2 linked regions of the Macaca fascicularis genome follow. The protein of the gene in region 1 purifies or fractionates together with the protein of each later gene. This does not show direct contact. Links are inferred from orthologs where the notes say so. Each region holds a gene or a part of one and is shown on either strand. Other genes may lie near its edges.

Region 1 (3,652 bases):
GGGGAGGGGAAAAAAACCCCTCTACAAACATCAAAGGAGAAAAAACTTCCTGTAGAAATCCGTTGGGTTAACAGCCAAGTTTTAAATATACAGCTTGATTCTTTGCTTGTCTGGTAGGCAAGGGCTCACCTCCATGTACATTTTAGCCAACTCCCAATAAACCTGTTGACTGAAAAGTACTCACTGGAAAAATCTACTAAAGCCTGCTATTTTTCTAATGGGTCTTAAACCCAAGATTCACTGACAGCAGGCAATTATATATAAGCTCTCATTAAGAGAGGAAAATATGATCACTTTTATACTCTCAAAATATCAAGTCAAAAAAAATAAAATATTTTTGTCTAAAGAATCTATTTACCTGTATTTTGTGCTCATGTTACCAAACATTTGAGTGCTATCTACATGCCAGGAACTGAATTCAGTGTTTTAATTAACTTGTTTAATTCTCATGACAATCCTTTTTAAGGCATTATTAACCTCATTTTACAAGGAAGGAAATAGACCCACAGCATTTGAGTAATGGGCATAGGTCGGAGAGAGCACACTTAATTAAGACTCTAATAAAAACCTAAGTGAGATGTGAAGTGGCAACAGAGACTGCCTGGCACACAGTGAGCAGAGTCACTGTTGGCATGTTGTTCTGAGTCGAGTCGAGGCCTCCTCTTGGAGCTTAAAGTGCCTGTGTCAAGAAAAACGCTCTCAAACCACGTTCTTCTCTACTCTTTCTTTTTTCTTTTCTTTTTTTTTTTTTTTTTGAGACAGAGTTTCACTCTTGTTGTCCAGGCTGGAGTGCAATGGCGCAACCTCGGCTCACTGCAACCTCCACCTCCCAGGTGTAAGCAGTTCTCCTGCCTCAGCCTCCCGAGTAGCTGGGATTACAGGCACACACCACCACACCCGGCTAATTTTGTATTTTTAGTAGAGACGGGGTTTCTCTATGGTGGTCAGGCTGGTCTCAAACTCCTGACCTCAGGTGATCCACCAGCCTTGGCCTCCCAAAGTGCTGAGATTACAGGAATGAGCCACTGCACCCGGCCTCTTCTCTACTCTTACACCACAACAATCAACACAGAAGATGACTTCTGTGACCAAAGGTGTGGCGGTTTCTCCCCACCACCAAGATTTCCTCCAGTTCAATTCCAACACTATCTACCTGGAAAATCAGAAAAGTGGAACAAGATTAGAGTCTTGCCTTGTGGCAGGTGAAAGGAGGGCAGGAGAGAGATCCTGTTTCTTGAAGCCTGACACCGAGGTCTAACACACCCAACATTATAACAAAAGACTGTAATAAGGGCTAAGGGAGTTATGAACCAGGAACTGTGGACAAAAAACAATATATATCAGAACACCACAGTACCCATGGCTCTTGATGCCTTACTGAAAAAATACTACATATTGGCTTGCTATTCAAGTTATTCCCAGACTTTTCAGTGATTATCTGGAAATAAGACATGCCTAGACTATTTACTTTTATAACATTTGTTACACATTTAATGTCAAAATCCTCTAGATAACAAGGATACATAACGTGTATTTTATGAAAAGGTTTCTTTAAATTTTGTGCAAAACAATTTACAAATAAATGATGGAATAACTAAACAAATGATAGTATAACCATAACATACTGCAACGGACTAGCTGGGAAAAGGGCAAAAATGTGAACTGTTGAAGATTCAACTAGGTGAAATATTCAACTGAATTTAACAAATGTAGAAAAATAAAGGGAAAAAGTATCATCAAAAGGTCAAGGCATAAGCATGGCTTTGAAGCCAACTGCAACTCCTGGTGTTCCCACTTACTGGCTCTCAACTACTATAAAATAGGGAGAAGAAAATAACATCCACTTTCAAAAAGTTTCAGGGAAAAGAAACAGTAGCATATAAAAGCCCAAGCTCTGTGCATGTCACATACTAGATACGCAGATGTGTCTGTCGTTTTCTTACTAGAGCCCCTGAAGTTAGACCTGTATGCAATACAGGGGAAAGTACAATACGGAAAACTAGGATTTGTACAACAGCCTTCAAACTAGAACATACCCGGCTCAAGTCTGTTCCATATTTACGATGAAGTTCATCAAGGCTAAGTTTATGATCATCCTAAGGGAAAAAAAAAAAAAAAACAGAAACAAAGAAAATAAACAGTGTAGTATAAAAAAATGACAAAAAAATAGCATTACTCATTACTATCATTAAGCTTATTAAACGAAGTGCAGATGTTTTCTTCAGTGCAGAAGTTGGTACACTTTTCACCATCGCTTCATGGCTTCACAACCATACAGCTATCATTGACAGCTCTTCACTGGAGAATGGCTGAAGCTGAGTGACGGTGGCCCATTACTACTTGCCGCAACACTTCAGAGAAACCCAGCAGCTCTCAGGGATCTAGTAAAACCTTATCTGCCTTCTCTGATGACTAGGTCAATTCTAGACAGGTTAAGTAGATGGAAGCTTCCATAGCCTGGAGAGGCTGAATTTCCCAGTGTTTGATATAATACAGAGAAAAGCAAAGACTCATGATATCAACCTAAGTTCCTTCTGTTGATCTGTGGTTATGCCAGATGACTGCATTAACTTTTCCTATCCTCTAACAGCTTTTAAAAAGAAAATGTTCAATATTAACCTCTACAACAAGATGAGATCTGTACAGCTGCTATGATCTCTTTTAATATAAAGCAGTTCTTTGACTGAAGAATACAGTGAGGTTTGGGGGATTAAAAATCATGGATTTTTAATAAGGATGGAATACAATATTCCTCCTAGTACTTACCATAGAAACTTCTTTCTTCAGTTCATCCATGTCCCTGTCTTTTTTGCCCTTTTTGCCCTTTTTATCACCTTGTTCTGAAACAGCTGCAGGCTCATACTTATCACGTCCAACCTGTAGGAGAATATGGGAAAAGTAAGGCTATGAATTATGACCTCATCTGAAACTGAAAATTCTGGAGCAGGGGATTTTGGTAGTTTTTAAGGTAGTCATAATTTGGAATAGTCATTAAGATAATAGTCAAGAAAATGTATGCCTGTATATTGCATACTACATAAGCAAAGCAATCTACTATTAATACATTGGCTTAAGATACATTCTCTCCATCCAAGAGCATTAAGACCAGTGGGAAACTCTTAACACCTATGAAGCCACCGGTAGGCTTCAGAATGGCCCTGCCAGCGCCACTTCCATTTGGGGTTAATGAGATTTTTGCTATCAAAATCCCTATTCTGCAGCCTTCCATCTTCCCTACTGAAAGACTGAAACTAACTTTACATTATTAATTTAGAGTGCAATATTGTGCTTATGAGTCCGCAGTCTCAATCAGACAGGCTTGAGTTAAAATCCTGGGCTTTACCACTTACCAGCAATGTATCCTTAGGCAAGTTACTAACTCCTACATTTCAATTTCCTCTTCCATAGCATGGAGATAAAGAATACTGCCAACCTCATTTTGTGTTTTTAAGGATTAAATGATACAAGACATCTAAATGCTAGTACTTTTATATTATTTATATTCTTTGCTTTGCAAATACATTATTACATATCAAATTTAAATATCTTTAGTGCTCACATAAGAACACTCACCTTTACCAGCTTCTCATATTAAAAAGTCAGCCTAAGACTCCTTAAAATTCTTTGCATAAGAGATTAAAAAAAAAGGGAG
Region 2 (3,652 bases), on another chromosome or scaffold:
TGGTAAATAGCATAAAAGTAAATAAGTATAAAGGTAAAAATCAGTTAAGAGACATTGAATCTCTAATTGAGACTTTGGAAACATTTATTTTACTAAGTTATAGGAGAGTTTGCATTCTGAGGATAATTAGTTTTGGAAAAGAGTACTAAAAATGAATTCCCTATAATGGGATCCAGTATTTCATAGTAAATAGTGTGTGGGTGTGTATGTGGAGGGAAATCTGGAAGCTTTATTTCTAAAGTAAAACTTTAATATTATAAAAATAAGTATTTTACAGTTGCACCTATGCATTAATTATTTACATAAACAAAAATGGGATCAGACATTGATTGGTTTTTGGCAGCATAATTTCCCCCAATAAATAGTATAATAAAATTATAGATGTCCTCATTTCATGTTTGACTTTCACTGTGCCATTATAATAGAGGCCATTTTTACAAGATTAATGATGACCTCAGTTTTTCTTAAAGCCGCTCAGATGACAAATTATTCTCTCTGTATCACCTATTATGCCATCATCCTGGCCACTTGTTAACTGGTCTGACCCTTACTTGTTCACAGGCTCACTTGTAACTCAGGCAATTCTCCAGTTTCTTTCATTGAGTTGAGCTTCTGTATAGTTGGCAAGTTTTCCAGTTCATCTTTGCATTGGGTCTGCAGTGTGCTAACCAAAGTATCAGATGGTCAGTAAGAGAGAACAGCTGGCCGTGAGCAGAAAGATAGGTGTAAAGCAAATAGGGTCTTGAGTGGGAACTCTGTTTATGAATGGTCAGTTCTTTAGAAATCATTTTCATGTTTAATCACTTTTGCTTTGCTGCTAAGCTTTGTGACTGATCATGAGACCTGATAACACAGATTGTGAAGACTCCAACCCATAATATATTTCATCATCATTTCACCAACTGTCTTTAATAGGTTCCTTTAAGTATATTTGAACATTAAACAAGTTAAAATCAAATTATATATTGATATCCTTGAAGGCCCTGAGCAAAGCATCGATAAGAAATTAGGTGAGTTAGAAGAGTATTATAGCCTCGTGTCTGCACTAGAAACCAGCCAGCAGGAATTTTGCATATACCTGTCAATTAATGGCATGATTAAATATTAGTAAACCATTTCTGTGATAGGCTTAATTTTATTTTAAATATTGCTCTGGAGAATTTTAAACTGAAACCCTTTTCAGATGACCATAAAGATTAGTGTTCAAAGCATCATTTACATGATGCCCTTCCCTTAGAGTGATCATTTCATTCACTGTATTTCCTGAAGGCTGCCCTTGGAGCTGGCTTCTCTGACAAGACTCCTGCTCACACTGTCACCATGGCTTGTATCTCTGCCAACCAAGCCATGACCACAGGTATGTTTAAATGGAAGCAGACGGCACATGTTAATTTTCCTCCTTTGTCTTTTACTTGATTATAAAAATGTACTTTTTTTTTTTTTTTTTTTTTTAAACAGAATCTCACTCTGTCACTCGGGCTGCAGTGCATTGGCACCATCGTAGCTCACTGCAGGCTCAAACTCTTGAACTCAGGAGATCCTCCTGCCTTAGGATCCCAAGTAGCTGGGTCTACAGGCACTCCACCACACCCAGCTAATTTTTCAGTTTTCTGTGGAGACAGGATCTCGCCATGTTGCCCAGGCTGGTCTTACACCTCTGGCCTCAAGTGATCCTTCTACCTCAACCTCCAAAGTGCTGGGATTACAGGCATGAGCCACCAAGCTCATCCCAAAAAGTACTCTTAGGAGAAGTGATAGATTAGCACAGATCTCTACTTGTGTTTTTTAAAAAGAAAGGTCAAGTTTAAAATTTGGGAGTTCTAACCATAGTTAACCTCTCTTTTTGCTCTCCATACCTGAGGGATGTTACCATTGGCGTGGTTCCTCTGTGAATAATGTGGCTGGCTGCAGCAGGGATTATCAAATGGAGGAGTATATCTCTAGGAAGGTACTTAAGCATCTGAAGCATGAGTAAATAGTTTACAACCTGCCAGGCTTTCAACCTAGTGCTTCAGATATGATATTTTCCCACAAAGATATGGTCTTCCTTCCTTCACCACTACCATACTTGTAAATCATTGCTTTAGATGGCACAGCTCTTTCCTTCACTTTCTTCCCGCATCCTTGGCATTTTTATAAATCATTGAAAATTCCCCTAACAAATTTTAACAAAATTACGGGGTATTTTGTAGCATCAGCCCGTAGTGTGAAGAGACAGGAAATCTGAAAGATTTAGTAATCATATGCTCGTCTAGTAACATCAAGGCCCAGGTGGGCAGCCCACTTCATATGTGGCAGGGAATGATGCCTGTGACTGGGGGTGTTCACCACTCTAGGCAGCATGTGACCAACTCTTGGTTAGAGAAACAGAATAGGCTCAGCGCGGTGGCTCACGCCTGTAATCCCAACACTTTGGGAGGCCAAGGTGGGTGGATCACGAGGTCAGGAGATCGAGAACATCCTGGCTAACACAGAGAAACCCTGTCTCTACTAAAAATACAAAAAAAAAAATTAGCCAGGCATGGTGGTAGGCGCCTGTAGTCCCAGCTACTTGGGAGGCTGAGGCAGGAGAATGGTGTGAACCCGGGAGGCGGAGCTTGCAATGAGCCAAGATCGCACCACTGCACTCCAGCCTGGGAGACAGAGCGAGACTCCGTCTCAAAAAAGAAAAAAAGAGAATAGTGGCCATAAGGAGAGAGGGGGCCTGCCTTACATTTTAACAGCTGGAATTTCTCTGCTTTGTAGCAGAAGTTAACATTCTCTTTATAAGATAAAAAAATATTTCTTAAAACTAAAGCTGGGAGCGCATAAATATGCAAGATGTTCTGGTTTGGAATAATGATTTGTTCAAGAGTTGGTCCAATGGATATTTCTAGAAGTTGATGTCCATATGGCAGGAATGAAAACTTGTTTTTCTCTAACGTGTTGAATGTGTTTTTAGTCATTTAAAACAATTACCTTAATTCTTCTGAAAAGTTGAAAACTTTAATTACAGATGTTGTACAAAGCTGATAACTGTTATTCAGCCTTTTAATCAAGAAGCTTAAATTGGAATGGTATGTTATTTTCTGTAAAAGATATTCATGAAGTATAACCTGTGCCCTGTAGGCGTTGGCTTGATTGCTTCTGGCCAGTGTGATGTGATCGTGGCAGGTGGTGTTGAGTTGATGTCCGATATCCCTATTCGTCACTCAAGGAAAATGAGAAAACTGATGCTTGATCTCAATAAGGCCAAATCTATGGGCCAGCGACTGTCTTTAATCTCTAAATTCCGATTGAATTTCCTAGCACCTGAGGTAAGGCTTGTGTTTGCAGGGCATCCCACTGCAGAGATTTAGAATTAGGTATGGCAATGTGGACTCTGCTATGCTGTAGTAGGTGTAGATTCTGTAGTTACAGGAAAGGGTTATTTGGTAAAGTTGAAAAAAAAACATAGTGGGTAGAAAACTTTAATTTGTGAGCCCTCTTTAGAGATCCTCTGCTGACAAAGGACTTCCCTTGTCTTGGTCTTGATTGATTAATGGTAAACAAATAGATTTTAACTTTTCCAAATAACACAGAACAATCCTAGGTGTTGGAAGAACGCCTGTTAACAGTGTACCTGCTTCTCGGATATCTCCTTTCCCAGCTTCCTGCGGTTGCTGAGTTCTCC

Evidence for each region.
Region 2: the proteins of ATP1A1 (region 1) and HADHB fractionate together in Homo sapiens (co-fractionation; 3 studies listed by BioGRID, with this or other methods). This does not show direct contact. The link is inferred for Macaca fascicularis from reciprocal best matches to the Homo sapiens genes ATP1A1 and HADHB.

Annotation. Positions count from the first base shown.
Region 1 is NC_088375.1:118,010,873-118,014,524, forward strand, and holds part of ATP1A1 (sodium/potassium-transporting ATPase subunit alpha-1), read right to left. Parts: intron 2,878-3,652; coding exon 2,767-2,877; intron 2,097-2,766; coding exon 2,037-2,096; intron 1-2,036. UniProt on the Homo sapiens protein: This is the catalytic component of the active enzyme, which catalyzes the hydrolysis of ATP coupled with the exchange of sodium and potassium ions across the plasma membrane.
Region 2 is NC_088387.1:95,960,850-95,964,501, reverse strand, and holds part of HADHB (trifunctional enzyme subunit beta, mitochondrial), read left to right. Parts: intron 1-1,269; coding exon 1,270-1,357; intron 1,358-3,108; coding exon 3,109-3,296; intron 3,297-3,628; coding exon 3,629-3,652. UniProt on the Homo sapiens protein: Mitochondrial trifunctional enzyme catalyzes the last three of the four reactions of the mitochondrial beta-oxidation pathway.